Struthio camelus: one gene and its partner. The protein of the gene in region 2 interacts with the protein of the main gene of each other region in a pairwise test. Links are inferred from orthologs where the notes say so. Each region holds a gene or a part of one and is shown on either strand. Other genes may lie near its edges. The genes, in order: CREM and FHL5.

Region 1 (16,113 bases), on a different chromosome or scaffold from region 2:
AAGTGTCTTTTTTCTTAATTTCTTCCAGAGACTTCAACTTTTCTTCTTAATTAAAAGCAACTCTCAGCTATCACAGACAAAATCTGCTCTCTCTCCAGCATGAAAGTTAGAAAAAAGCTCAAGACGTCCAACCAGAAATATCGGCATACATCGAAGCAGTATGTTGCTGCAACAACACAAAGGGCAGAAAATGCTTAATCCAAAAAAGTCCAAAACTTTTTTGGTTTTGCTTTGCTTCATTTAAAACTAAAAAGTTTAGCTTCAACTTTGTTCTTCAGATAGCTGTCTTGAGACATTACTTGCTGGATAGCAAAATAATTGTTAGAATAAAACAATTTCTGGATTTGCAAATGTTTTAGTTTAAAAAAAAATCTTTGTTTTATGTTCTACAGTATCAAGAAAAACTGAGTTGGCACCCAGCAGAATTTTGCTGCAACAACAAAAAATAAAGGACAGATAAGAGCAATCTTCTTCAAAGCTAGAAACAGCTGAAAAAATAATGCCCTGTTCTGTTCAGGAAAACATCTACCTCCCCACCCCCGATAAAATTTTAGAGCACACAGCTTTACCGAGCCTTTGCCTCACAGCCAGCTGTATCCAGAAGATGAATCAATTAAGAAATAGTTAAAACATCTATGGGCTAAGAAACAGCTCAGTATTTATGCTAAAACTATTAAATCTATTAACAGAAACGAATACTGAAGGAAAGGGAAAAGTCCATAATAGATCTCAATTTCTCAAGACACAGAAAAGAAAGAAAAGAAAATGACAACCAGCATCAAGGCTACATGATAAAAAGAGATACTGTTTGTGTTTTTCAAAAATTCAAAGTGAACTGCATTAAAAATCCTTATTTCTGTGTTCTGTGTGTACAAGACTGAATCATCAATCACATCTAAAGTCTGATATTTTCCCCTTCCTGGCTTGGTTCTCAGCCAAAAAATATACCTGGTGAAAAAGAGATCATCTGCTGATGTAAAATACCCAAGACAACAAATTTGTCAGCACTAGAAGGTAAAAGAGATGACAGTGACAAGAAAACATCATGAAATACTGAATAAAAAAGTTGTTAGAAAACATATTTTGGATTTTTCTATATTCACATTGAAGATTTTTCTTAAATTCCAAGTATTAAAGAAGCTTTTCATGATCCGTAAGTCATTACTTGTCTGGGAAATGTTCCTTTCTTGAGGCAAGAGAAAGTTTTTAATGGCTATTAAGATCCACTATTATCAAAAAGACCAGATGTTGGCTCAAATTATCTTCAAGAAACAATGTTTCTAGGAAACAGAGACAGGATCTTGTCAACAATCACCACGTACACTACGCAACTGTTCAATTGTTATCGGAAACTGAACAGATTCTCAGGAAATAAAACAATTGAGGGCACTTCTAACCTGCAAATGGAAACAATTATTCCTTAAATGGTAATAAATGGCAACATGTAAACAGGCTACAGAAACCTTCTTCCCAATCTATAAAATAAACATTACCACTACTATTAAGAAATAGATATTTGAGACCAGGATCTACAAAGTCTTGAAGAGCTGAAGAGCACGATCTATTTCCTGTCAGGCAAAGTTGACATCACTGCAAGCCCAAACTTCAAGGAAAGAACTTGGAGTCAGCGTAAACATTTACAAAGCACTTTTCAAAATATATTACAAAGACAATTTTCACCAAACCTTCCAGTTTGCAGCCCTCACAAAGATAGCAGTAACCTGATACAATACTCTAGTGTATCTGAGAGAACGTTCCGACTACAACACACACAAAACAGTACACCATGAACAACAGTTTATTAGTTTCCGTGTTTAGTACACAATGGGTCAGGCATATATAATCAGGAAGTAATCCAGAATTCAAGATTAAGAAACACTGCATTCATTTAAAAAGCTCCTTATTCAGTCCAACTACATGGCGGGGGGAGGCGGGAAATCAGCTAATACTAGGCTAACAATTGAACAGGAGAAAATGTTTTGTTCCCATCAGTTCAGATAGAAGATTAAACGGAAGGCAGGGAGGGGAAGAGACAACATTACTTTTAAAACTGAACCAAACCAAAAGTTATTTGCTCGTTTGCTCATTTCCATTTTAAATAGATAATTTGATTTGCTCACAACTTGCAAAGTTCCACAAATATCTGAAGGTTACGCAATGCACAAATTCCTGTTATTCTAACACCTATAAGCTATATTTTAAATCTGTGATTCTTTTGTATTAGGTTTATTTTTTATAATTGAGATTTTAAAACTCCCTTCCAATCTCATATTTTGCATCTCTTTATAAATATTAAAATTGTTAAAACATCTTTTATTCACATTTCACTCTGCATTATTTTCAAATTGCATCCTCCTGCATTAACTGAAATACTAGAACCTTTTGACATTTGAGGCTATCAGGTTACTCACGCATAAATGCTGACTGAAGCAGCCTTGGCAAAAAAGTTACTTTCCCACATTAACGATGAGCAATGCTAGCTATAATATCATTATTTCAAGGGCAGTCTAGGACAATGACTGAAAACATCCCATAGAAGCAACTCAGCAACATGGAGGCCAGGGAGAAGCTTAACTCACTAAGCCTCTGGTTAGATGGTGTAAGGGTTTTCTCCCTGGCAACGGCAATGAGAGCTAGGATCTTGTAATGTTAGTTGGGGGTCTAAACTCCTACGTGTGCAACGGTCAAGCTTAATGGCTTCAAAATTACCAACCACACATTCTGTCATGGTGGCCTGGTCTCATACTTTGTATATTAGGAAATATATGTGCCTCCGTCTTGAAAAACTAGAGAGTAAAGCAGCAAGTAAAAAGATCAAGAATCATCTTCATGCTGAGGCATGCATTCGTTCAAACAGAAAGGTTATTTATGAGTTATCTGACCTCAGTATGCACGGAAGATCTGAAAAGTTATATTGTGGATATATGCACCCCTTGTCACTCAAGGTCAGGTAACTTTTCCCTATAGAGGGCTACAGAGGTTATACTTGCTTCCAACCTCTTTGTGCTGGGAACATTGGATACCATGAGCTACACGGTGCCCAACTCCATTGGATTTCCCTCTCAGGCGTAGAATCCACATACTGTGCAGATTCCAGAAGTACACAAAAAGTACTACTAGAAAAGTACATACAAAGCAAACCCATCCTGGATTCACCTGATAGAAGAGTACAAGGACTCACCACACTCAGACACCTCTGAGTAGCCCCTATGATGAAAAGCTGAAGCCAGGGGAGTTTTGGTCAATTCCAACGCTAATGTCAAAGAGGAAGCACCTAGTTTTAAGGAAGACAAGGTTAAGCTACTTTCAGCCATCTAGTGACTGGATACACTTGAGGCACAAACAAAACAGTGACAAGGCAGCAGGTGCATAAACCTTTAACACCAACTTTGCCAGATGCTCTGGACCTGTGTTTGGCTGGGCTAGCTTTAAAGCAATATGACCAAGAGTGTGGCAAACTTCCATGGTGCTCGGTTTCTCACGAGCAATATGTAAAGTAAAGTTTGGTGCTGAGAACCCACTGGGAAGATACCTCTGAAGCGCTAAATAGAAGCAGTCCCAACTTGCAATGGCTACGTACTCCAGGCTCCAGAAGGCACCCATCCAGAAAGCTCCCACAGCTCTCTCCAACAGCAGTTATCACTTTGTAAATCCTGACCCACACTTGGTCCAGGGCAAACACTAAGAGGTCAACAGATGATTTCTCAGACCAAGACAGCAGACGTAGCTCTGCTAACAGATAGGACACGACAAAGCCAAAAAGTGATTCAAAGAGGGACCCATCAAAAACGTGTAGGATTGAGAAGAAGAAGAAAAAAAAAAAAAAAGTACTTTGTCAGAACTCAAAAAGGTCAAAGTACAATCCTCTTATTTTTTGTATTATATCTATTAATGTAACTGAGCACAGCATAAGGCAGAGTGCAATGAGGCCTCTAAGAAGTACTATAAAAGGAGCAACCGATCTCTCTCCAAATAGCAATGCACATGCAACAGTTTCAAGATATAAGTTTGATGATGATCAATATTATGTGACTATTTATAAAGTCCAAATTAACTTCTTAAAAACCAGCCCACTCTGTATTAATATAACAGCAATGCATATGAGATGGAACCCATGGGACCTGGTTAAGTACCAGTTGAGAAATTTTCCCCCTCAAAGCTCTAGTCTTCCCTAAAGAGAAGGCTTGAAGCTTCTACACAGTTACTCTATACACTTCAGCTTCTAAAGACAAAAAACTATTAAATACTTTTACAAATTAAAATTTTTACATAATTCTTTTGATGCGTGGATCACCAAAACAATACAATCTTGACGCATTTATCATTGTTATAAATAATTGTTATTTATTCCTTATTATAAAGGATGCAAGAAATTCAACCACAGATGCCATCTTGTTCTACATTAATGTTATTACAGAAATAACTCTTTAAAGACAAAAATTGTCAATTTTGCCTCAATGGACCAAACGGGCATGTTATTTTTCCTATGTTATAATTTGCTAACTTTTGCAAAAAACAGAATTTTACTTTCACCACAAAAAAGAATTGCAGGAGAATATAACCATTTTTTACACACACTAGAAAAAACCCTACTGCAGCCTTTTCTCTACTAATAACTCATAACAGCAAATCTTTAGCACTGGAGGCCATCTAATTACGCCACAGTCCTACAGCCCAACGGGGTCGTTAGTTTCCAAGGGGAGGCATCAGGAATGCTTCAACACAAAACAGTGTCCGCTCTCCGGATATTATCATCTTATTGAACAACTTGTCCCCCCTTTTCAAAATAAAGGACGAGTATTTCTCTAAAAAGCCGGAACTCCAGGAAAACAATATATAAATCAAACATATACACATACATAAATATATAATATCTAATGTGTGTATATTTATCTATACATAGATATAAGCTCCTATGCAATTGTATGCTTCGTCATTTTGCTACTCTTTCCCCGGCCAAAGCAATACACAGAAAGCTGCAAACTGAATATTAAAAGATAACCCATTAAAATGCTTTACTTCTGACTGAACAAAACCAATGTTGAAAAAATATCCAGTTAAAAAACAACCACCAACAACCACCCCAACGTCTGCGCAGCAACCCTCAGTTGTAGCGAGTAGGCTTTTTTCGCCACTCAGTAAGAGCCAAGCCATCCTTCCTGTCTCTGTTCCTGCACAGTTGCAAGAAAATTAGTGAGGAAAAAGGCTTACCAGTTGGAGCAAGCTACTTGCCAGGCACTTTAAATGGCTGCCTGCTCTTCTCAGTGCTCCTCCAGAGGCCAAAGAGAGAGCGAAGGAGCTCTTGGCGCCCTTCCGCACCGCTCCGAACACGCGTGCGCTGGGCCAGCACAGCCCAAATCGCTCAGAAACACAGACAGTTTCCCGTCCCGCGCCTGGCAGAGGCGGAGAGGTGACATTCCTCCATGGGGTCCCTGCCTCGCGGGGTGGCAAACGTCTTCAGCCAGTCTAGCTCTCACCTAGAACACAGTGCCTCACCTTCGGAGCCTGCCGGGCAGGAAGGCACGCTAGCATGGTCCTCCTCATCGTAAGCCAAAGAGACCTAGCTAGGGAACGACGACGTCCCCCTTTCCTCCGCAGCAGCAGACGAAAGGCAGCAGACGAAAGGCAGCCTCGCAGGCACCACGGTGCCGACCCCAAGCTGCCCCGAGGCAACGGCAGCACCGCAGGCCCCCCGCGGCGGTGCTGGCGGTGGGAGGAGGACGCGTGGCCCGGCCTGGCCCCAGCAGCCCCCGCCCCATGGCCCTTGGACTCCCTGTCACTGTTTTTTCCAAAATAGCCCAATTCCATGAGCTCTGCTTTTCCGGGCAGCCGAGGCCTTCGAGTTACGGGAGCCGAGCAGGCCTGGAAAAAGTCAGAGTCGGCTCTTCAAGCCTTCTGACTAAAAAGAGGAATTCCCACATGTAATGATGTTCCCACATCTCTTTGCTCTCCTGAGCCTTCAGATGGAAGCAAACTCCAAGCTGCCCCATTTGTTTCCTTTTACTGGTATTTGACTGAGATTCAGTTAAAAGCGTTACCTCCGAAACAGGCACATGCCCAGCGTGGCTGAACCGCATCAGTCACCACCAGAAAGTACTCAAGTATCGAGGGCAGATAAACATGAAAAGGGCTCTCCTTGGGGACCCCACAGAAGTCCTCCTACAGCTTTGTCTAGTTCAATGTTAAAAGTCCCAAATGACAGGATTCACAGTAGTTTTCTTCAGAGACTATTGCACAAACTCACAGATTTTACATAGAAGTCACACTATTACTATAAGTAAGTATTACTTTAAGTCTGAACCATCAGAAAGGAAGAAATGAGAGAGTAACATGAACAGAGCAAAACAAATAAAATTCTTGTTTCACGCTCCATTCTTAAAGGAGAAGAAAAAAAAAAAAAAAGACTCCCAGTGCTGCAGGTACCAAAACCACAACTAAATGCTGTAAATGACAAAAAACATCAATGAAAAAAGTTTCAAAAGTATTTGGAGGCCTACTTTGCACACAAAGACCCAACACAAAGCAGTAGCATTCATCCTTGAAAATACACCTATAATGAGAATCAGGCATTTAACATTCCAGATATATGGTATGAAATAACTGAGGATCCCTCTCCTCATTTGGACAGGAATCTTACTGAGTAACATCGCATGCTGAAGAAACTCCATAAGATGATTTTTTAAACAGTTCCAAAGGCTTGACAAAGGGTTTCTAAAAATCCTTGTAAATGGATCTATGTAGTTTCCTGACATTACAAATCTTAGTACTGGCATGTATAACATTATTTCTCTCATGGGCTGAATATTTCAGAGAAGTATTTTTAATGTTTAAGAACTGTTATTCTTTTTTTCCCATTTACTGCCAAAAAAACAAGTACAACTACACAGAACAAGTGGAATGTATTTCTAGAAAACGAGACATTGCCATCAGGCACGCAGGGGTGAAACAGAACAGCACATATTAAAATAGTACTTGCAGGACTAAACCCATTCTGTACAATACCTGGAACTAGGAAAGAACCATAATTATTTTCATTCTTTTTTCATTTTTGTTATACAACACATCTTTGAGATACAAAAATGTTTTAACTATGCTTGATCTTGCAGCCTTCTCAACCTATTAGGACCCTATTCCCACTTGCATAATACATATAATCGTCTCAGCAAATGAAAAAAAATCATGTCTACTTCTCATTGTAGTAGTCCAATCTCCTAGAAGTGTTACTTTGCTTTGATGTAATAGTAGCACTATGTTAAACACAGCAGGCATAGTTTTCAGTATACCTTTACCATTTTCCCTATTAAATAACAAAAAGAACTTACGAAACATGATTTAAAATTGGTAAGTTAACGGTCAGCATTAAAAAAAACCGTTAACAGTTCTGAATATCACTTGTGCTGATTCTTCTCATCTTTCCATTTCAGCTTACCTGAGATATGGGGGAAATCTGACTTTGGCCTGGCTGATTCTGAACATGAACAGCATCTCTCTCTCGCATAGAATCCACTGCATTTCCATCCTGTTGCGATTCAACCATTTCCATGGTCATCTGTCTAAAGGTAAGTACATACATACATAAATAATCTAGTACACGGGGGATATTAGGCACCTAGGGAGAAAAGAGCAATTTCAAGCTGTTTTATATTTGGAGTAGTAAGCTAACAATGAACAGAAAACCTCTCTCTCAAAACTATAAGATTAATCAAAGTCATACTTTCCCATTCCTCCATGTTCAGATCTTCATACAGTCAGAGGCTCGAAACACACGTACTATGAAAAGCTGCAAGGAAAGGCAGCTCTGGGAACGGTTCTCTAGAGAGAGGTGACAACAGAGTGCCAGGGTCCCACCACAGAGCAAGGCTAACCAGAGCGGAGAGCAGGATCCAGAGCAACTGCCAGCACTGGCTGCAGCTGCTCCCTAGGACCTCGTCCCCAAGGAGGCCGGGCTCAGGATGCCCAGCAGCCACATGCCAGCACACCACGCTCGAAGCTCATGTGATACCATCCCAGGCTAGGATTTGTACTTGAATTGTCTGTGAACTATGTGTGGCTCAAGACCCACGGACTGACCACTCTTCTTGCTTTGCAGGTTTTAAAATTAGGCTAAGTTTCATAGGATAAACAACTCCATAACCCTCACTTAAACCTGTGAGTTTAAGCTCCATAGAGCGAGCCTCCAAACCTATCTGCTGTATAAAGATACTATTACCTTCCAGTTGTTTTTCCGTATTTCTTGACACACTTGGTCATAATGGAAGATGTGTGTGATCTAAAACAAGAGCGTGGTTCTCTCCAGCCCCCTTCTCTGCTGCCAGAAGAGGCACTGCAGGTGCAGCGCCCCGCAGCTGATGTCACAACGGGGCCCTAGCAACCCGTCCCCAGGGTGCAGCAGGGGACCCGCCAGAGGGTCCCGTGGGCTCACGTGTCCCCCAGGCCCGCCCCACGGCTCTGTCTGACATAACTTACTTTATACAAGAGATCAGGACCACAGGAGGGAGAAGCGATACAGTTGTGGGTTTTTAAGAGGCAAGAAAAAAAAAAATCTTTCTTAGATTAGGATCAGCAAGTTCAGTTACTGTAACTAGGGCACCGCAACCCAGTCTGAAGTGTATTTTCAGCTATTTCATCTGGCTGACAGCTACTGAAGTTTCTTCTCAGGTCTTACACTAGGATATAAAATAGACAGAAAGGAAGTCTGCTCCTGGCTCCTGAATTAAGACCTACATGTTACATGTCAACTGCATTAGATCAAATTAAACAAGCTCAACTTTTTTGCTGCAGTGTGTTACAGAATATTCCACATCGATTTTTTGAGGAGACAAAAAAAAATAAAACAAAACACAATATCCCAAACCCCCACCCTTTTTGCCTCAAATGAAGGCATGAAAACATCAGTTTACCTGTATGTTCAAAAAGGAATCTAGTCAAACGATATAGAGAGGCATACTGCAAACTTGTAATCCCCTAACAGTACTGTACCGACCAGATTTAAGAGACTGCTTTGCAAGCAGGACCTTGCAATTTAAGCACTTCACTGACCATAGCTGCTGTAGTACTACAGCTGTTGGCAGCCAGGTTTTATACAATTTAAGATTTCAAGGGCTAACATTAGTTCTTTTTTCTGCCAATAGAAGTTATACATTCTATGCCTTTGCCTCTCTTGGGTATCTGCAACAGTTTTACTGCCATGGCTTGCAAATGCTCTCTCCTTAGAGCAGGATAACTTTCTACTCTCCTTTCCAAAATAAATCTCAGGGTTAGAAAACGTATTTCATCAAAAACTTCTTCAGCTGATAAAAATAGCATCACTGACAGGACAATATTAGGGGACAGCAACAGCTAAAGGAAAAAGTTGTCCACGTGACCCAAAAGGTCAGAAGTCACTTAAATCTAGATATATGACCCTTTCAGTATTTTTTCTCCATAGACTGTAAGCTAAGCACAGCATCCCTATCAAAACATACCAAAAAATCTTTTTTTCCCCTCTCCATACTGCAGTTTGTTTTACAAGGCATTTTTTTTAAAGTATCGTATTTAATGTCTGTTGGTGAGCTTCAACTGTGAAAGCAAATTGGTGCTGAAATTCACACTGCTGAATACATATGACTTTTCTAATTAAATACCCAGAGTCATTTTAAAGATAATTTCTTTATTTTAGCATTACTTTATACATCAGAAACTGTTTACAAAGATGGCTTACTACCAAAGAAATTGTAAGGAAAAAGCTAAGAAATATGTTTCAGGGCTTGCTCTAGATATCTTCTTCAAGGCTTTTACTCACAGGGAAGTTACTAAAAAGCAAGGATGTGAATCTACAAACAGCTGCTTGGCATTAAGCGGTGCCCCCATCCACAGTGTGGAAACTCTCAGCATGTATTAGTTTCGGAAGAGCTTTGTGTTTTAAGTAGGAAGTCTAAATTATGAAATCTAAAACCCATTTTGCTACACTGCTATGTGAAGTTCCAGGTGGTGACCGTGTTCAACGAGGTAAAATGAGCAACACTGCAGCAGATCAGGCTCTGACAGCAACTTCTGTGAAGTGTTCAGTATTAGCACAACAGTTACTTTCTTGCATCTCCTATGCTCTTAAACGCGTCTCCCTTTTTTTCGCCTCATCTTAGGATATAGACTTTACCAACACCCTCAAAAAACTGAAAAAACCCAAACTGCCACTACCGTAAGACCAAGCACACTGCCTGTCACACTGGACATACCATCTCAATAATCCTGCCGAGACAGTACGGAGCCTGCTGTAAACAGGACACAACAGTCCACGTGTGGCAGAAACACAGCCCAAGCAACAGCCACCGAACAGAGAAGAGGATCGCTCCTGTGTGTCAGCATCTGCGGGATCACTTAGCTGCTGCAAGACGCGCAGCTCCTCCCCGCCCTCAGCTAAAACGTCGGCGCGGCAGCGCAGGATGCACACAGAAAACCCGCAGTTCACGCCAGCCGCAGAGCTCGCGCAGCCGGCCGCGATGCTCCCCGGCCACCTGCCCTGTCCCAACTCGGGAAACCCAACGGGCAGGGGCGGCCCAGGCCCGCCCGACCAGGCGCCGGGGCCCCCCGCCCGCAGCGCTCCCCCCCCGTCAGGCCGCCTGCAGGCCCCGGGCCCGGCGCCCTCTGACAGCAGCGGCGAGGCACGCTGCCCCGGGCCCTCCCTCGCCCGAGCGGCGCCGGGGCCGCCGGCAGGCGAGTCGGGCCGCTCTCCCTCGCCCCGGCCGGCCCCGCAGCACCCGGGCCGCGCCGCAGACGGGGCCCCCCGACCGAGCCGTGCAGAGCCCAGCCGGGCGAGCGGGCGGGCGCGGCGCGGCCCTGGCGGCGGGCGCGCTCCCGGCCGCCCACCCCAGCGCGCTCCCGGCGGCGGGGCCGGGCAGCGCGGCAGAGCGCCCCCCGCCCCCGCGCCGCCTGGGCTGGGCTGGGCTGGGCCGGGCTGGGCTGGGCCGGGCCGGCCGCTGCCCTCGGCGCTGCCCCGCCGCCGGCCCCGCAGGGGGTCGGGCTGCGCGCACACGTGTCCCCGCCCCCTCCCGCACTCACCCGCCGCCCTGTACGTGATGCCCCCGTCACAGGGGGGTGGGGGGGATTGGGCCGGGCGGAGCCGCACGTCGGCCTCACGTCAGCGCTGATGCAGCCGCGCCGCTGCGGGGGCGCTGAGGAAATGGCGTCTGCGCCGACTCCCAGCCCCAGCGGCCGCGGAAGGAGGAGGAGCCTGCCCTTCGGCGGCTGCGGCCGCCAGCGCCGATTGGCCACAGGGCGCCCAACGGCTGGCGGCCTGGCCAACCGCCGCGGCGAGGCTGCCGGCAGCGCTCCTCATTGGCTGGGCGGGGGGGAGGGGCGGGACGCGGCGGTGCTGCGGGCTTCGGAGCCATCCTGCCCGCGTGGGGGAGGGGCGCGCCGCCCCTCCGCCGTGCGCAGCCGGTTGCAGCCGGGGGCGCCGGGCCGCCTCGGCCCTCCCCGGGGCGCCGCGAGCGGAGGGCGGCGGAGGCCCCGCGCCCCGGCCGGGGTCGCGCTTGCGGTGTGCGGTCGCAGGGGTGTGGCGCGGCTCCTCTGCGTGCCGGCTGGGCGCCGCCGATAAGGGCGGGCGGGCGGGCGAGCGGCTGGGCCGCCGCGGCCGGTGGGGAGCGGCCTCCCCGCGCCGAGCGGAGCGGAGCGGAGCGGAGCGGGGCCCGGCGCTTGGGGCGGTGCGCGGCCCCGGCGGTCACCAGCCCTCCGGGGCCGCCGGAGGAGCGAGGAAACGTGCCGAGGGGCCGGCACGCCGCAAGCCGGCCCTGGGAGCTGGCGCCCGGGCTTAAATTCCCCTGTTTCCCGAACGCACGTCCCCTAAATCAGTTATTCCTAAGAGTGTGTGTGTTTTTCCTTTAGGAGCGTGACATCAAGCTCTGTGTTTGTTTGGCTGAATACATCAGAAGCGGCTAAGAGATAAAGAGCAGCTCATGTTTTCCCCCCCTCGCTGCCAAAGGATACGTTTGCATGGCGTGAGTCACGTTCGGCCTCCGCGAGATGTGTCTTGTTCCAGGAAGCGCAAGGCCTGTATCCCCGGTTTTACTCACGCTTGCGTTCCACAAAGGCTTGGGTCATGGACCGCGCTGCTCCTGGTGTCTTAGCGTCCTGTGTCTTGGAACTACGGTTCAGCACCTCACGAAGCAGTGTGAGAGGGGGTTATACTACAGCATGTCTGTTACAGTATTACTTGTCTGCACGTGTTCTCAAGTACTTTATGTACTTATCCTTTTGTGTCTGTGTGCGTGAGAATCTGTTCCATAGTGTGTCTAATAAGAACGAAAGGCCCCAGTTAATTTCACAGGACTGACTGCAATTAGGCAACTGGAGGGTATGTATGTCAGCTTTAGTAATATGCCCATACAGGTCAAGTATTCAGTCTTTTCATGGAGTGAAGAGAACCTATTGATTTTCTGTGTTCAGAAAGCAGATAAGTATTTGTGGCTTCAGACTTCAAGAAGAAGTAAAGTACATTTATCTGCAAAGGCTTTTGCCTTTGACCACTCAAGTTAATTATTGGCCTCACAGAATTTATTTAACACAACTATCAAAATCATAATCCAATGCAAATAATGCAATGTTTATAATGTTGCTGTTGCTTATGAAAGTTTTCAGTCTTCATTTCCTTTGCTGAAATATCAAATAACACCCCCTTCCTGTTTTGAGTTCTGTTTCCCTCCTTTTGTTTGTTGCCTATGTTTTTATGTGTCTTTTCAGAGTTTTAAATACGGGTTGCTCTTCCCTTGATTTATACTCATAACCTTTTTGCTTTATAGTTGACGCATTAAGTACAAACATATGCGTTCATCAAAGGACATGCTTTAGTAGAAAACATCTGGTGAATTAGAAAATATTTTCTGAATATTAACATAATCAAATGAACAGCCAAGCATAAAAATGCTAAGAATAACTCGTGATGCCTTTGGAAGAAATTCCATCTTTGTTTAGCATAGTCATAAAGCCAGAAGTAGATGTTGTGTTTCTAGTAACATGTAAGAAATATTTGCGAAAGTGGAAATCTGATTACAAACAGTGAGGGAGAAAACCACCAGAGTCAGTTATTTATAAACAAATTGAGAATTTCCATAGAACGCTTGCAGTGTAAAGTTGGCAAAGGAGTTATTTCCTATTATTTTTCAAATAAGTTGCAAGCAGCTTTGAAACTTTCTTGACTTATCTTTATTTATACCTCTTTTCTCTCTATTTTAATGAAATACAGAATATAAATGATAAACTGAATATTGAAGCTCCAGTTTGAGAAAACTCATAGTTGAAGAAGGAGTGACCTGTCAAAGGGGTTTAGTTTCTAGCAATGCAAGGATGATTAAACAGCTTCAGCTCTTGCGTACTTGACATGGCTTACTGAAGTTGGTAAACTTCTGCCTGGGTTTAGTCTGGCCTTGCAGGTGTGAGTAATAACAGAAAGTGCCACATTGTCACTGTGGCAAGGTTGTGGGGTAGTAGTTGTTAGCTCAGGACAAACCAACCTGTGTTACAAAAGTCACCGCTTTACTGCAATCATTCTAAAATTGTTTTAATTAAGTGGGTATCAATCCCTGATGTGAACCAATTTAATTTCAAATGCTAGGACAAAAGGCAATCAATATGAAGACCACACAGGATAGGATCCTTTATGATCATCATCATTTACACAAGATAGTTCTGAATATAAATTGGAAAGCCAGGCACTTCACTGCCAGCAGAATGCCTGCCTGCCTGAAGTCCCTTTTTCTTCCTAACCTGAAACATCCAGTCTGATACTACATCCAATCTCCTGCAAATTCAAGGAACTATCAGCACTTCAGAAACAGTTATTTTTGTTTGTTTTTAGGCTTTAGTGTGGCAAGTGAGAAGATCTTAGAAGAGAATGTAACCCAAAGAGCAATGCAAAGTTAAGCAGCCCTCAGTTGCCGCTCACATCTTGTTCCCGCTACCTCGGTTATTTTGATACAAGTTCTTGTGTAACCAAAAGCCTACCTGCCAAGTAATCTCTGTTAAAAGCAATGTATCTAGAAAAAAGTTACTTTCAACCTGCATCACTTCTCAAGTCTGGTCTGCGCAGTCATAGGAAGAGAAGGATTGCCTTAGCTGAGAGGTTTATATTTGAGTAGGAATGAGCAGGGAGCTGAAGCCACTTGAACTGGAACTGCCACCAAAAGAAATGGTCGTGTTCTTTGTGCAGAAAATAAATACTTCACCAGTGCATAATAAATCAATATGAACACCATTTACATCATCCTCAAACAACTGATTTTTCATGCTGGGTCTTCCCCACTTCTTTTTAATACATTTTTGAAGAATTTACTTGAGAGTTTAGTGTATTTCGGTTACAATCTTATGAGACGCTTACATAAAATCTTCTTGTAAAAAAAAAAAAAGTTCATAGCTGGCCTCGGTAAAGATGGAAAAGGGACATGCTGCTTATGTAAATATTGCTTATAGATTTATTTTTAGTTAGGGCTCAGACATTTGAAAATGATATGGGTTAGACTGACAAAAATGAAGAAACTAGCTTTCTAATTGGAATAATACTGCGTGTAACATGTTATAGAAATGATTCCATTGTTTGCTGTCTTGACTGTTGTTTAAATGATTGTTCTGTGATTTTTTTTTTCATCTTAATAACCGTTCGGTGTGTTACATGCACACTTCTTAGACCATTCCACACCTACACGTTCCTAGACATTGAGGAATCATGAAATGCAACTTGTGGAGTAAATGAAAGCCTCTGTTCAGACAATGACATCTGAAAAGCCCTAAATATTCTTTGCAAAAGAAAAAAAAACTTACAGGTTGTTTATTATGCCAGAAATAGTTCCCATTGAATGATTAGCTAAAAGATGACCAGTAAATTTATTTTCACTTAACACTTAACGAAGCTCACTGGTAAGCTCTTTTCACAATGTTTTATATTTTTCTTGACGTATGCAATCTGATGTTTGAGGTCTACATCTTTTCCTCCTTAAAGACTGCATGCTTATACTTATTGTCATAGGTCATACAATTCCTCAGTGTGCATGTGAATCTGGAAGAGACTGAATTACCGTAAATTAATTGCATCACAGATCTCTTCATGGACCACTCAAGGTTTAGCTGGTCATTAAATACTATCTCTGCTCTTCCACTGCCTCTAAAAGGGTAGAAGGACAAAAGCAGAACTTGTAGGGCTGTCACAGGAAAGTGTGGTCATAACATACAGCCATTGTTTTCACAACTTATTTTGTAAATATGATGAAAGTCAGAAGTAGCCAATACGCTAATGATGCAACAGAATCCCGAGCTGTCTGAAATAAGAGACTGGATTAGGCAAGCAACAAGTTCACTGTAACGAGTGTATATAAAACTGATCATTTAATTTACCTGTCCTTTTTTGATAAACTGCCAGGAATGCTAAGAAAAATAGGCGTTTCAGTTGGCTTAGAAACAGGAACAATATGTCCTTAGAAAGGCAAATGCTGAACAATATTGTTGAAGTTGCAACCTTTGTAAATTGCTTTTTTCCAGGTGTATTTATATAGGTTTATAAGAATATTACACATCTGTAGGCTTTTAAGTATTTAGTTACGTTTCCTTTCCTAAACTCTTATTTTATGGTGGACGTAAGATTGAGAGACTATGTGAGTAGATTAAGAGCAAATTACAAATATCTTTATTTTTAAGAATGTTTCACTATTGCCCGTTGCTGGAGCCTCCAAAAACTGATACTGCCAATAAATTAGTGCTGTGGTAAGATACTGGCTTGACTTTTGTGGGTGCCAGAAGCGTAGGAAGGAAAAGCCTTGTTGAGTCACAGGTACAGCTCAGCTAGCAAGCTGAGCTAACAACTGTGAGCCTTTGCAGTACCTCAGCTAGCTCTGGTTTGCATTACTTCATGTACATGGCAGGTTATATTTATTTGGAAGGTTATGGGGTTATTGTCATTGAAATGAGTACCAAATACTACTCTATTTACATTTATTTTATTAAATACCTTTACTTTGATTTTTCTTGGGTTCCTAATGATGTGATTTTAGACAATAGCTTACAATAATGCAACAATGTTTCACACTTCAAAGCACAGGTGCACAGTCTGAAGTACATTTTGATATATGTTTTAATTCAACAGTTTTTTAG
Region 2 (16,789 bases):
GAAAAAAAATAGGGGTAATGTTAAGGCTTAGATCATGGCTTTCATTTTTCTGAAGTCATTCTTACCTGAATTTTTTTTTACATTTTTTCAAATATTCTGGAACAGCCAGAACATTCTCATAATATATTCATTATAGAGCGCATTACATTATGAGCCTATCAGTATCCTCTGTCATATTATTATCCTCACTGCTAAGGCCAGTCCTGAGGAATTCCAGACCTTGGAGACAAGAGAGGAAGGCTGGAGAAAGGAAGACTCTCCCTTGGTGGAGGAGGATCAGGTTAGAGATCTTTTGTCCAAACTCGACATCCATAAATCCATGGGCCCCGATGGGATGCACCCACGAGTGCTGAGGGAGCTGGCGGATGTTATCGCTAGGCCACTCTCCATCCTCTTGGAAAGGTCCTGGAGATCAGGAGAGGTGCCTGAGGACTGGAAGAAAGCCAATGTCACCCCCGTCTTCCAAAAGGGCAAGAAGGAGGAGCCAGGAAACTACAGGCCTGTCAGCCTCACCTCCATCCCTGGAAAGGTGATGGAACAGCTCCTCCTGGAGGTCCTCACTAAGCATGTGGAGGACAAGAAGGTGATCAGGAGTAGTCAGCATGGATTCACCAAAGGGAAATCATGCTGGACCAATCTGATAGCCTTCTGTGATGGAATGACTGGCTGGGTAGAGGAGGGGAGAGCAGTGGCTGTTGTCTGCCTGGACTTCAGCAAGGCTTTGGACACTGTCTCCCATCACATCCTCCTAGGTAAGCTCAGGAAGTGTGGGCTAGATGAGTGGACAGTGAGGTGGCTTGAGAACTGGCTGGATGGCCGAGCTCAGAGGGTTGTGGTGAATGGCGCAGAGTCAAGTTGGAGGCCTGTGGCTAGTGGTGTCCCCCAGGGGTCAGTCCTGGGCCCAGTCTTGTTCAGTGTATTCATCAATGACCTGGATGAAGGCACAGAGTGCACCCTCAGCAAGTTTGCTGATGATTCGAAACTGGGGGGGAGAGGCTAACACACCAGAAGACTGTGCTGCCATTCAGAGGGACCTGGACAGGCTGGAGAGGTGGGCGGAGAGGAACCTCCTGCAGTTCAACCAAGGCAAGTGCAGGGTCCTGCACCTAGGCAGGAATAATCCCATGCACCAGTCCCGGCTGGGCGTTGACCTGCTGGAGAGCAGCTCTGCAGAGAAGGACCTGGGAGTGCTGGTGGACAACAAGTTAAACATGAGCCAGCAGTGTGCCCTTGTGGCCAAGAAGGCCGACGGTCTCCTGGGGTGCACTAGGCAGAGTGTTGCCAGCAGGTGGAGGGAGGTGATCCTGCCCCTCTCCTCAGCCCTGGTGAGGCCTCACCTGGAGTACTGTGTCCAGTGCTGGGCTCCCCAGTACAAGAGAGACATGGCACTCCTGGAGAGAGTCCAGCGGAGGGCTACCAAGATGATTAGAGGGCTGGAGCACCTCTCCTATGAAGAAAGACTGCAAGAGCTGGGCCTGTTCATGCTGGACAAGAGAAGATTGAGAGAGGATCTCATAAATGTGTACAAGTATCTGAAGGGAGGTTGTCAAGAGGATGAGGCCAGCCTCTTCTCCGTGGTGCCCAGCAACAGGACAAGAGGCAACGGGCACAAACTGAACCACAGGAAGTTCCATCTGAACCTGAGAAAAAACTTCTTCACTGTGAGGGTGACAGAGCGCTGGAACAGGTTGCCCAGAGAGGTGGTGGAGTTTCCTTCGCTGGAGATATTCAAAAGCCGTCTGGATGTGATCCTGGGCAATATGCTCTAGGTGACCCTGCTTGAGCAGGGAGGTTGGACTAGATGATCTCCAGAGGTCCCTTCCAACCTAAACGATTCTGTGATTCTGTGATTATATGCAAGTCATATTATATACATTTAGGCATTTCACAGGTTTAAGGATTACATCTGGCTCAAAAGTCCCATGTGAAAAACAACAACCAAACTAGCTGATAAGTTAAATACTTAAAAGACACTTAAACTGTTTAAAATTGACTTGTTTCAGGTGCCCAAGTTCAAAATGCATCGAGTCCTGAAAGCAAAGCAGATGTAGGCCTAAGATGTGGATAGGAACTCATTAGTGAATGCTAGGTACAATCCTAAAGGAATTTAAAGTAATGTCGGCAATGATGTCCCCCAGGGATCAGTTCTGGGGCCAAGACTAATTTATTCATCCATGACCTGGAGGAAGGGACAGAGTGCCTCCTCAGCAAGTTTGCTGATGATACAATGCTGGGGGGAGTGGCTGACACACCAGAAGACTGTGCTGCCATTCAGGGGGACCTGAGCAGTCTGGAGAGATGGGCAGAGAGGTAACTCGTGAAGTGCAACAAAGGCAAGTGCAGGGTTCTGCACCTAGGCAGAAATAACCTTATGCACCAGTACAGGTTGGAAGATGACCAGCTGCAAAGCAGCTTGGCAGAAAAGGCCCTTGGGGTCCCAGTGGACACTGAGTGGACCATGAGCTAGCAATGTGCCCTTGCAGCAAAGAAAGCCAACAGCCTCTTGGACTGCATTAGGAAAAGCACTGCCAGCAGGTTGAGGGAGGTGAGCCTTCCCCTTTGCTCAGCCCTGGTGAGGCCACATCTGGAGTACTGTGTCCAGTGCTGGGCTCCCCAGTACAAGAGAGACATGGAGCTACTGGAGCAAGTCCAACAAAGCACACATTTTGACAGATGAGCAAGAGGTGGGATGTTCAAAAATATGCAAGTAATTAGGAGATTCATTACCATTAATTTTAATGTTCCCTGATATGTAGTATCTGGTAAATATGGTCTCTAAATCCTCCTTAATGAAATTATATTCAGAGAAAGTGCACGAAACTGGTTACAGGAGGAAAAGGCCAAGGAAACTAGTGATTTCAGCCAATTTCTGTCAAAGAAAAGGCCAGTTTCGGTAGAGTCAGCTTTTCCACAGAGAAAAATCACTTCCAGCAATCTCAAGTCCCAGTCATGTGTGAAATTAAGAGAGAATGCCAGTTCCACTGACAATATTTTCTGCATTGTCGTGGAGGGTGAAGTATCATCTACATGTCCTTTGTCAACCAGCCTGATTTAGACATGACCACTGCCTAAAAGCTGAGGTCTTTTTGATGGAAAGGGTTTCTGGGTTAACTGGTGTTAATTGTTACGGATCAGGCAACAGAACATATATGCAGGTTTGGATGCCTTCAATAATCTTGACTATTCTGCTGACTTGGCTTCGAAGGAAGCGGAGGCAGCGCTCTGCTCCATTGCTCAGCATTGCTGTATATGGAACAATGAGGAATAAAGAAGTGTTTTGGGCACTGACAGCCTACACTAAATATGCTCCTGCCTAGAACTCAGGAGGGAAAGCAGATCTAAAAATGATGTAGCAATGATTTAAAGAATGTGTGAAAGAAAATGACTATAGTTTTATATATCTTTTTCAGTTGAGCAGGCAAAACCATCTTAAGGAAGGCGAAAGGAACCCTACAAAAGATGTCTAGGCAACAACCTGCTCATGAGGAAAGTTTCCTAATCCCATTTAGGGGGTTAGATACATGCTCTGAAACATGAGGATTTATAAGTTTCCAAAACTAATATAAATTAAAAGTTGTTACTGCATCAGGGTATTCTTGGAAGAAAAGGAGTTTTGCACTAAGCTTGATCCAGACTACTTAAATAGTTTTATTTTTTAAATTTTGAAGCATTTTAATCAGATGTTTTTGAATAAACAAAACTCCACGGAAAATGTCAGTTTGCTTCAGAAAAGTAGGACTCTCAAAAGTGAAACAAAAGATAATTTTGGTCTAAAAATAAATCTTAAATTTTTGACAGAAAACTGTTTTAGTAAAATCTTAAATTGTGATTTTTTGATATAAAGATAACATGTTCATTGAGAGGAGCAATTTTCTAACTAGCTGTACATTTTAGCCTAGGAAAAAGATGGCGTTCTAAGTTAAAGAATCTGTCTCATTTTGAGACAAGAAACTCATTAGCAAAAGGATGTTTATGCTGGGATATAGTTGCCTCATAAATAAAATGGTGGGAAGGCTGGGAAAGTTGTACTTGCATGGAAATATTAATGTATTTTTTACTACTATCAAACTAAGCCCTAGCAAGCTCTAAATGTTTTCAAAAGAGGAAAAGAAACATTAATAATTCTGGGCTGAATTGTTCACGATGAGAATTGATTTCTGAGGTCACAGCTGAACTTTGGCCATGAACAGAAATTCTCCTCCTCACCACTTCTTCCCTTTCTGCCTGGCTTCCTCTTGCCCCTTTTCCTGCCTCCACCCTCACCTACAATCCTCTAATTGTGGAAAATACTTCAAGTGCTTCAGTAAAAAAGAAAGCCAAAGTTATAAATGAAGACAGACGGTGAAGTCCTGATCTGAGAGTTTTGCCAGCGAGTTTGTCCACAGCATGCAGATTAGATTAAGAGATCTCTGCTACGACAGCATCTGCACATCAAAAATCCTACTCCCAATTTGCCTTTGTTCAAGGCACTAATGACCTAAGGAGAGGCCAACATGCTTGCACAGCTGCGCAAAAGTCCACCAAGAAAATAGCAGCATCTTAGTGAGAGACTAACACTGCTGGGCAGGAATACATCTACCTGATAGAGAAACAAGCTTGCCTTCGGGACTGAAAGCTTTCTTGGGGAAAACAAAAGCAATGGGAAATGATGTCTCTGATACGGTGAGAACTGAAATGTTTAGGGGCCATGAAACAAAACAGCTTTACTGCTAACAAGAGGTAACAGAGCTTCAACATGCAACATTGCTGCTGACTGCAACCTTTAAGATTTTAACAGAAAATAGGCCATGCCTTTTACTTGTAGATGCATCAGCTGCAGAGAATGGATTTCTCCCACCCTTACGTTTTATTTCAGGGAGAGAAAGGACGGTGAAGAGTACCATGTGTCTTGAGAATGGGTATTCTACGTGAATTAAAATCCTATTAAAAAATAACAGCAACCCACTGCATAATACTTTTTCTAGCTGGGTTCTTTAAAAGCCTGTGACCTACTTTAGAACTGCTTTAAGAAATGAAATGAGCAGTAAGAAAAAGATGAGCAGCAGCAGCATATATGTTTTATAGCAAGCTAAAATTGGAAAGGACTTTCATTACCCAGTTAAAAATACCCTCCTCCCCCAACACCAAACCAAACATAATATCCCCAAGTGGTAATACAGAATCTGCTGCAGCAGCGCAGCCTTTTACTTTTCTCTCCCAACTGTACTGTGCCAACCTGACCTAGTTTTCTGAGGAAAAAAATAAACCCAGCTGCAGCACTTTGTAATAAAAATACAAAATCTTATCAAAATGAACCAAATCTGAAAGTTTCTGATGGCAGCCCTGTTCAAGGCTTGTCACTGGCTAGGTAACATTACAGCCTCGGAAAAACAAAGGCTAGTGTTAAGTATTGGTATGCAAGATCCCTACCTTAGTTTTCACCGTTCCCAGGTATTTAGACTTTTAGGCCTGACAAACAGGCAGCTCTGTTGCTTGCAGGGCTCCATCCGTCTGGTTGCCACCTTTTTACCAAGCTTTACATTGGAAACACAGATGACAGTTCTGCAGACAATTTGTGGCCACAGGAATCACAGTCTGAAAAGTCACTGCTACGTATAGTATAAGAAATGCTGTGCAGAGCATTGAGTAGAGCCCATAGTAGACTGATGCCAAAGCCAGGACTGCCCAGGTATTCTGGATTTCTACTGACAATTAACTCAGTAGGCTTTCCTAGGAGAACTAGCAGGAAGTGTCCTCTACAATTGCAGTCTCTTTGGACTACAGAGATGCAATAATAACACAGTCTTATTAAAATACATATACATACATATGCATCTGGTAGGCAGATAAACCAGTGAAGGTCTAATCCATTGGAGAAATCCTAAAAGATGCCATGCTCTTTGTATTCTCCTGCTTTTATGATAATGAATGGCTTATAGAATATAACTGAGACTGAGGGCAAAAAAGGTTTTCAGGAGAATGCCAAACAGTCAGCCGCTACGAAAACACACTGTGGACTTTCTTAAGTAGTCTTATATAACTTCCTTTTGTTTCCTCCTAAGTGTTACATGAACATGTACTTTGTCTTCTCTTGGACCATGATGCCAGAAACACTCGTATGTCTATGTAAATTAATGCAGGTGAATAATATCACTTAACGCATGGAAGTCTTATCAGGCGGTTTAGTAACTGCTGGATTAGGCTTTACCTCTGCATGTTAGGGTTGGTGTCCTCATACTTACCGGGAAAGCACTAGGCACAATTCAGTTATCAAGTCTCATCACTTGCACCAAGACTGCAGAAACAAACTGGTACAATTTGGCCATATGTGCATTTTGCTAAATAGATGGAATTATGGCAGGGTGATATTTTGCTTTTATTCTTTGCCCTGCATTTGTTTTAAATGTACTATAAGGCTGCAACACCTGCTAGTTTACTACGCAGGTGCATCAAGGGCAGGCTGCTGCTCTTTGAGCTGGGAAAAAAAGGGTAAAATATTCAAACAGACACACTTAGTTATGACAGATGACCTGTTTTCACTGTTGATAGTAATCCACATGTTTCATTCCAGCACAGGAAATAGATATCTGACTCTGAATTTTTACTCAGTTCTAGAAGAGAGCTCACTAGATGACTTTTGAAGGCCATGAAACCATTTAGGAGAGGTTGATGGGAAGAAAGGCAGGAGTGGAGATCTTTTTACTTTTTGCTCTTCCTTTAGCAGAGAGAGAAAATAAGGGAGTGTTGCTAGGATTGGGTGTAGAGAAAATTGGTTTGTTTAACATATGGTTTTGTGCACCACATTTTCATTGAATAAAAATCTTAATTGAAGATTTTTCCTAACTCAAACAGGTGAGTCCTCTTTCCCCACAAGACAAAATATATCATTGCATTGACTCCTCGTGTTGTGTGAGCAGAAACATCGAGTGGTGCTTAGACTCGGCTCTGAGTTCTGCTCATATCCTGCCAGAGACTTGCTATATGACTTGTGCCAGGTCATTTGAAGTGTTCATGCCTCTTTTACTTCTCCTCTTTTTCTGCTGGGCCTGCTTGGGTGATAAGGTCTTCAGAAAAATTATGTGACTGGGTATCTTAACATTTCCCTTAAGTCCTAAAACCTCTGTACCAGACCTTAAACATATTTCTTACTATTTTAACATAGTCTGTCTTCCTAAAAGTGGCTATGAATTAAAATTAGACACTGAAATGAATAGATCTCAGTATTCTGTCTTACTTTATTATGATGTGAGGTTACTGACCCTTCCATTACTGCTCTGCTGGGATTTTTGTAAAGTCCTGGCATGCGAAAAGGTTGCTTTTTTGCTTTTTGGGACTATATTAGTTTGAAAGTGGATTTCTTTCTACAATAATAAATACATACTCTCTAAAAGCTGGGTCCAGTGTAGGATTACCCAGTTCTGATGGACAGAAAACTAAGGCTAAAGATTATCTGAAAATCCAGAATAGGCAACATTTAACTTTGACAAATCGTAAGGATTAAAAATCATCACTTAAGTCTTAGAATGGTGGAGCAAATTTGTCAGGAATGAAGAAATTCCTTTCTTATAGTTAGGATCATTTTAAAATCAGATAATATAATTCAAGGACATAGGGTAACAACGGAATCTATTCAAGTGATAACATGAACCCTGACACAGCAACAGAAAAGTAATTACCTTTGCAAATCTAGAATGGAACGAACCACTTTTGGTGCAGGATGACCCTCAGAGCCCATAACTCTAATTAGCTGCATGTTAAGACTGGGCTGAGTGGGAGGGGAGTGGTAAGCAGCAGCAGAAACTCTGCTAAGGTAAAAATACAGTTCAAGTCCTTTTTGCTTATTTATGTTACATATGGTAAATGTTTTTGGGAAAAAACAAAAGTAAATGATTAAATACAAATTTAAGAATTCTGCTACTGCATTTTAAATAAGAAAATGCTTTGAGCTTTTAATTTGAAATGTTTCTCAATGCTCTTCCATTTTCAAGCACCAAACTAAACAAACTTTCACAATCAGATCTGTTCAACATGAAAGATTTTCTCTAATCTTTTTTTTTTTCTGCATGCAAATAGAAAACAAACCCAGCTATTCGAAGAACTCTAATGATGGCACAATTTTTCATGTTATAATGCATAAATGAATATTGATGTTGCTGAATTAGTAGCTTGGGGAGCTCACTTGAGGAAGACTGGGCTCTTGATAAATAGACTTGTAGCTTAATACTCTGAGATATTTATACAGCCTTCCTTTCAAAGATCTCAAGATAACTTTTCTAACAATAACAAAGCAAACCTAAAACACAGTTATGAGATACTTGTCTACAGGAAAGGTTAATGCCTTTCAAAATAAAATAACTGATTCGCCCACGGTCAGAGAGCAAACCTGGAGGAGTGGGAAGAGAAGCACACACTTGTTATGCCTTTGCCTTTAGAGGATTTTGCTCGTCAGACTGCAGTCATGGACCTGGCAATGGAGAGTTACAAGTACTGTAGGTTGTGGAGGTTGCCTGGTGGAGAACTTCCAGCTGAAGCACTGCTGGATAGAAAGCACTACTGAAGTTAGCTGAGGCAATAAAATGCTCCAGTTGTGAACTTTACAATCGCCCCTAATGACTCTGGAGATATGACTAATACTTACGCAAGGCATTCTGAGGGAAATTTATCCAGTTTTGTGTTAAACTTCTTAAGGCCACAGCATTTGAGACAGTTCCTAATCATTAAGGATTTTCCAGAGAACCTGGGCTGCCTCCAGTCAGCCTTGGATAATGTGGTTTTGAATTAATTTTTTTTTTCCTCAGTATAACAAACCCAGTTTTACAGATGGGGGACCGAAGCACAGAACAACTGGCTGACAGTCACTTTGAACTAAATTCAGGTCTCCTCTGTGTGTATTCTGTCACTAATTTGTGCTATGCTCTGTCTCTAAATCATTCTTTCTATCAATTCTACTATCTATGCACCAAGACAGGTTATTGAAAAATGAATATTTTTCTGGTTTACAAAAATGATTAAGTGTAAGGCCAGCAGTGAGCAAGAGAAGCCCTTTCAGATCCACTACTCATAATATTTTGAGATGTGCAGAATTTGCTAGTCTTTATATATGGACCTAGAACAAATTCAGATTCAAGACAAGCCTGGTTAAGAAGATAAGTGACCTACTAGCGTGGAGGTAATGAAGCAGAATCAAAGAAAACTTTTAGTCTAAGAAAAGGAAACCAGGAGAAGAGATAGTAGCTGATGTATACTATGCAATATCAGAGACGAACGCGTGCTATTCACAAAAGCTAACTTAAGTCTGCAGAGGCTAATTCACTAATGTGCTCTTTATAGTTAAAGGAGAGAGAGAAATTCCTCTTGAGGGTGATTCATAGCAGAAACGAAGCCATTACTAAAGAGAGAACAAAGAGACATTAGCTAGCTGTTGTAAAGTCCTGCCTCTCACAGTAACTCTGCTACAAAATTTAATGTCTTGAGGTTTTAATAATAGTAGCTTATTTGCACTGTATCAGTTTAGTGTTTCTGGAGAAATGTCTACGTAATTCTATGAAACTGTACCCATTTCATCCCTCTTACATTTTATAGGAAAATATAAACCTATGAAATGAGTTCACAGCTTCCTAAACAGAACCACACGCCCTGCTCTCAGCAAAATGAATTCTACTGTAGGAGCAAACATGGAATATGAGCAGCTTTTCGTCATTCCCATTTCCAAACTTTGGGGCTCTAGAAATTTTAATAGGAACGTTGAACCGAAATCATTAATTTTAAGAATATCCTGGAATTAGACATAAGACATCATCCTACAGTTAACTGACAGGAAAATGTACAGAAAAAATTAAGGTCAGTTCTACGCTTTAGGTGATCTAAAGACTTGAGCAGAATCCAGGTCTTGTTTAGTCCACAGGAGGGGTTTTCACCCCTCCTTGAAAAGGGGTTAGAATTTCACCCTCTGATTTTAGGCTTGACATTTAGAAGCCTGCTGGTCGAGACTTTGCATTTCTGCCTGTCTTTCCACGGTTAAGCAATACTAATAGATTTCAACTCTTCTTTTTTTTTTTTTTTTTTTTGGATAAGTACAACTCAGACAAGGAAAAAGAAGGATGAAAAGAAAGCTGGGCTTATTTGTATATGGCTCATAAAACTTATATCTTACCATGTCAACCAAAAATATTCATTTGCTAGAAAATGACTGCCTGCAAATAACCTTGAAATACCCTACAATTGATCAGAATTTCTTTCAAATAGCTTTTGCTTTCATGATTTTGCTCTTATATTACGAGAAGGTTAATATGTTATTTTAAGCACCTACCAATTATGCAACTTCAAATTGAAGTGACTTTTGTGCCACTGTAATAAAATTACATGACAAGACCATCAGCAATCTGTTATAACATCAGTATATTAAGTCTGTTAAAGCCTATTCTGTTAAAATACTCTAGAAATGTCAACTCATGACACAAACAGAAGAAAAATATGGGTGAAAATATTAGACACAAACAAGAAAGACACCTGAAACTTGTATTTTAAATATAAGAGATTTTATGTCAAGTTCCAGTACACAAAAAGATCTTTTGACATTAGGGAAAGTTAAGAAAAAAACGGTATTTAAAACTAATTATGTTATTGAAATATAAATTGTATTTGATAGTTCAACCCAAGTTTGATTTAATCCTTATTATCAAAAAGATTACCTTTAAGAAACCAGGTATCAGTGCAATTAATATATAGAGACTTTAAATTATGGAATATTTCCACTTTTTAACTTCTGCCATATAGGTAGACATTTCTAGAACAATTTTAGTGAACAGAGGTTCATCCTTTCAGTCCTACTCTCATGCTTTCAAATCCCAGACCAAGATGATGATCCTAAAAAGGTGGTAAATAAAAGACACAACAAAATATCTTACAGAAGGAGAATGTTGAAATGATACTTGATTTGATAACACGGCTAAATTTTGCTGTAAACACCAGCTTGGTAACTGGTTTTACTTCAAAGAAAAAGTAAGAACAATCCATACTAGACAGTGAAATTAACTGTACTAGAAACCAGTGACTTACCGTATCAGAAAATACACTATTTAAAGAGTTTTCTTACAACACCAAATAGCTATGATAGCTTGCCATGAGAAAAAAACGATGATTCAAATGTCACAGGAAATAGCATATACATTTTTGATGTTTTAGAGTAAATAATATTCATCCTTATATCATTACAAAGAAGAAAAAAAAAAAAACGAGCAATCTTCCCCTAGATTAATTAGTGAGTCAATGAATAAAAAGAAAACAAGTGCATTTGAAAAAATGTGGAATCTTGTTTTGGTACACAAAACTAAAACATTTTTAATGTAACTGTGGAATTCTGCACATAGTTTAAAGAAACTGTAGCCATAGGAATGAGTAATTTGTATCTGAAGAAAAAAGCTCCTCCTTAAGCGCTTAAAATATTCAATTAGTTACCTGTTACACTACCACAATTAAACGTTATCGCATAAAGGAGAAATGGAAATACTTAATACTCACATCTGGTTTCAAGCTGCTTCTCCTGGTAACTTGTGTAACAAAATAAAAGGAAGAAATAATTGGACTTCTTCGCAGAAACAAGCATTCAGTAAGTCCAAAAGAAACAGAATACTTTGCCAGAGCTATTTGAGGGTCCCATTAGAATTTGGCTGCCTGGAAGAAGGCTGAGGGTCAGTTTGTTTCCCTTAGACCTCATGACATGCAAATAGCTGGCTGCCTCACCACTGAATCAAATCATTCTTTGACATCTTGTGTTTACAAATTACAAATACATACCACGTAGGAGGTTCTTAAAGGAGCATATTTCAGATAGTTGTCAAAAGGAAAAAGGCACTTCTGTTTAGAAATAAAATGAAATAAAATAACATAAAATAAAACAAAATAAACCAGCAATTAAAGAATCAACCCTCCCACCCCAAGCTGTTTAGTACAGGGGCAGGGTGGCAGGGGAAGATGGATTATCATTCACCCTCAGATTGATTGTGCATGGACTAAAATGTATCCGAAAGACCTGATTTAGAGTTGTAATTTAGGAAAAAACAAAAATCCTGATGACTAATGTCTGAGTGTCAAGATACCGGAGATGGGAGAGGGGCATAGGGAGAAGCTTTCCTTAAATTTAAGGAAAGATTTTTGGGGACCCAGGGGAGCTTCTCTGATGCCACTAACACAGTTTCTGGGCTGGAAGGTTTGCCAGTCTCGCAGTACATAGGAAGCTGTTCCTATTGTATTATCACCTGTGTAAGTACTACTGGCCTCTTGTAGGTCTTCCTCAGTTTTTCTCAGTTCTGGCTAAGACTGAATTGCAGTCATCTCCTACTGCGTGTTTGGACAGAAGAGGGGCCAGCCAGCTTCTGCATACAGCCTATGGCATGCACAGAGCATACAGAAGAGCTCATACTTTGTATAGGATTCTGTGAAGACCTTTAACCCATTTTAGCTGAAAAATTTGCAGGCTGAAGTTAAGCAGACTGAAAAGAAGGATGGCTGGTTGTGGTTTAAACCACTGCTGACCTCCAGGCAGATTTTTCCACCACCAAGAGCCAATAGACCTGAAAAATTTAGTCTATAATGTCAAGTGGGTAGGAACTGTTTTTGGTCACAGTTAGAAGGAAGAAACATTTAAACAGTTCAAACAAGTATCATGTCGTGTGAAGCCTTTGATAAAATTGACAAACCTGGAAAACATTTTCTGAAGGTTATCTGTGTCTACGTAATGTCTTACAATTAAGACTGTAATCATTTGATTGTTATTGCTGAGAATTCATCATCTCTATTTGTGGCTAATTGGTTTATTAAATTTCTGCAGAAACTTATTTTCATCTGCACAAACTAGATGGAATTTTTTCCTCCTATTGAACTATTAGCTTTATTTAGACCAAGCATTTTGGTGATTCCTCAATCCTGAGATTTTTGTAGATCGAGAAGAGGGGACAACACTCATATCTGACTTTGAATCCAGAATGAGGATCGTGAATAGCATCTTCTTGCCTTTACTTCCAAACAGAACAATCTGAAAGTACAACTCTTAACCAAGTACCTTTTGAAGCTCACAAGTGAGAACAACCCAAAAATATTATCCAAATGGATCTGTCAAGAGCTAATGACATTTTGAAATACTTCTAATACAGTATGTTCTTTTCAGAGACAGGAGAAAAGATACAGATGCCTTGAGTATATTATCACCCTTAAACTTCAAAGACTTTTCCAAATTTTTCTCTGAATATATGTACATTTATGTTTATTTAAAAGAAAGTTAGTATTTTTGCTAACAGGCGTAAATTACAGTACAGTTGAAGAGGAGGAAAATAAATACTGCTGCTTCTTCAGAATACCGGTTAAATGTCTCATACAACTCACATCGCTTCCTGAACTTCCTGAAACAGAAGGCTGCCTATCTCATCTGTCCCTAAACCTGAACTGTCTTGACCTAAGCTGCTGCTTCTCATGAAAAATTTAGGAGTTCATCAACCAAATAACCAGCACGGCATTTCTCTTTAAACTTTTCAAAGTGGTACTTCCACTTAAGAAAAAATAAAAAAATGACATTCCTCAGCAATTCAAAGAGAAAAACAAAAATCACCGTTCTTTCTGAGAAAACATGTTCAGCTTTTACTGAATATGTTCTCAGTTATTCGGGTGAGCAGAGAGAAGGAATCCTGCTCTCAAGCCTTCTGTTTATCCAAAAGCTTCAGATCATTGCCATTTTTATGTTTAAAGCACAATCATCATTCAAAAAGTTTGAGCAGCACATATTTCGAGGCTTGAACAGCACTCAAGGGAAACATCACAACATGCCTTGTTCTTATATTCCTCCCTAGGCGTCCACTTTTGGCCACTGCTGGAGACAGGATACTGGGCTTGATAGACCTTTGATCATACCCAGTACAGTCACTCTTATGTTTTCTGCAACAGTATTAAACTTATTAAACAAACAACCACTCCCCAAACCCCGACCCAGTAGTCTGTTTTGTAGATCTTGATCTAAGGAAAACAACTGTTACTTTTATATATATGTATACACACACACATTTTTATACACACACATACACACACAATTTGTATACACACACATTTTTATACATATATATAAAAATATAAAATCCTTTATATATTTATATATAAAAGTGTTTGCCGAGTAGCAACAAATACATGAGTAGCGTGCTCATGGGTCTATGCAGAGAAGTGCTCTGCACGGAAGTACTGCAGCTGCAACTGAATAAACTGTAGGACGGATTTATCCCGACAACAAACCCCAATGCTATTACTTGGAAACTTGTGCCAAAAGACTGTTAAAGAAACTGCAAAAGCAGAGAATTACCACGAAGGCTGCAAGTTCTAACAGAGCAGCAGTTTTCTTATTTCCAGCAGACTTCCAAATAACCAAAATTATGACAGTTACATTTTGCCAGCTACAAACAGGCAAAGGAAAGGCTGCTGCTGAGGAAGGCATCTTTCTACCTGTGCTTATGATGATAATTTCAATTTTTTGAGAGTAGCAGCAAATAAGGCTATGAGAAGCATATTCATAAGTATTTGTGTGTATATATATGTACCATATATATCTGTATCTCAATATCAGCAGTATGAGTCTATAAAAATGCTGCAGGCTAAAGGATAGAAGGAGAGGCTGACACTGCTACTTAAAGCCAAGGCAAAAGTGTTGACTTGTACACTGTGCATTGCATTGCATTTTCCTCGATATGACAAAAGACAGCTTTACTTTGTGAATTTCTAAGTCAACAAAACTCTTCCTCCCACATATATTCATTCTAGGGAGAGGAAAAATACCAATTAGCAACATGTTCAGGAAATTATGTATATTCCTTTTCTTTCTCTTTCAGAACCCTTTATTTGATAAAGACTGACTTTCTACATCTAAGAGACAATAAAATACCTAGGCAGGTTCAGGAGTCAATGTCTCCTAGAATTCTGTCAGTAGACAAAGGACACTTCTGGATCTTAGTGCTTCCTTTTTAACTTGGAAGAACCTATATTTTTTATCATTCATACTTATTACCTACAATTTAGTAAGTCTAAGGCATTACAGAGCAAAATCCACTACATGTTCGTTATTACTCTGTCTAATAGTATCAAAATAAACACAGGGATACTCAAAGAGTCATGTTAAATCAAATGATGCATATTACCAAATGCCATTTGAAAGCTGCAAGTACAAGACCATCAATCACTGGTTAAGTCAGTAGAAGGTATTTTAATACGCCATCATTTAATATTATTAAAATCATGTCATATTTGTATACAGAACGTCACATGGTATATTATTATTTTAAAAATAGATCAATGTCGTATAAAGCAATTTACATTCAGTATAGGAACATTATAATTACTGTGGCTAAATAATGAGAAATCAAACTTTTTCACTATATGCAAATTTTATTTCTTAAACAAACAGCCACAGTACTTTTCACCTCTTACTCCTCAATATCCTTCATTGTCAGCTATGACAGCCTCCAGCCAGGGAAAGAGGAGCTACTACCTTTGCTTCTGCCTCCAAAGGAAAGGAATTCAAACCACTCTTTTGCCTTATAATCGGTAAAGATCAGTGCTTTGATGTAAACATCGTTGAACAGTAGTGATTTTTATATAGGTATATAATTCAGATTTTTACCTTATCAAAATTAACTTAGCCTTGGTTAATCCATTGCTGAGTTTCCATATTTGGCCTTGTCAACTTGTTTGTTGCAATTTCAGGCTTGTTTAAGAATTTAAGTTTATAGAATATGTACAGTGCTGGAAAAGACGAATATTTAAACAGAGTACAACTTACAGAGAATCCAAACTATTTATTTGCTTTTGGTATCAAAGAATTCTGGTATAATGGGTGAATGATTTTCAGTAAGCAGCTATATTTCTTGTTTTACTACTCAAACTTAGTTTTATGCAAAAACCTGAAATTACAGAAACAGTCATTGGACGTTATGGAAGTAATACAAGGTTACGTAATACTAAGATAGTTTGTGTTTGAAAGTGACCTGCTCTTAAAAATAAGTTAGAAATAATTGACATATGAGAATTATGTCATTAATACTTTCAGAACTCTGATGTACTTTACCTTTAATATAATTCATGCAAAATGAAGCTAGTAAAAACTTGAGGGAAACACTGTAACAGTATTTAGCTTCTTCAGGTTAGACAAACAGATTTCAGCATATAAAGTTTATGAAAAAAGATCTGAACAGTTAACATTTAAGTTATTTTCAAGAAACTCAGGATAATACATCACAAGTTCTCTCAGATAAGGCAGCTCACAGAAGGCAAGCACATACTTCTAACCACTATAGGAACCGGACTGAGAACTCAATCAGTCCACTGAATGAACATAGTGTATGTTAAATTTGGCAGGGATAATAGTATTTCTCCACTCCCAAAATATCCATGCTAAAGGATATCACCTCCTCTGTCTCCATTACCAATTTTTAAATGAGCTGCTATTATGGATATTATCAGGATATTTCAGTAGCATGGGTGTGCAGAGATTTTCATAAGATTACAGTACATTTAGAAAATCACAGTAGTACGGAGTCTCCTCTCTTAGATTTACAGATTTTTATTTGTACTTATTGTTTTTACTGTTGTGGTCTAGTGAACAATTTTGAATTTCTCTGTTGTTCATACAAAAGCTGAAAATATCAACTACTTGTATAGAAAAGTAAAGATGGCCTTTCATTTGTACACTATTAGATACTAGTCTTATAGTTTCAAAACTGGTCTTTGAAACTGAGATACACATGCTTATATACAGTGCTGCAACCCTTACAAATCTACA

What was found.
Region 1: the proteins of FHL5 (region 2) and CREM interact in a two-hybrid assay, tested with the Homo sapiens proteins (2 studies listed by BioGRID). The link is inferred for Struthio camelus from reciprocal best matches to the Homo sapiens genes FHL5 and CREM.

The regions. Positions count from the first base shown.
Region 1 is NC_090943.1:15,767,068-15,783,180, forward strand, and holds the start of CREM (cAMP-responsive element modulator), read right to left. Parts: upstream 8,345-16,113; 5' UTR 8,251-8,344; coding exon 8,210-8,250; intron 7,554-8,209; coding exon 7,430-7,553; intron 1-7,429.
Region 2 is NC_090944.1:53,215,937-53,232,725, reverse strand, and holds the start of FHL5 (four and a half LIM domains protein 5), read right to left. Parts: upstream 11,718-16,789; 5' UTR 11,585-11,717; coding exon 11,500-11,584; intron 5,515-11,499; exon of another isoform or gene 5,410-5,514; intron 1-5,409. UniProt on the Homo sapiens protein: May be involved in the regulation of spermatogenesis. Stimulates CREM transcriptional activity in a phosphorylation-independent manner.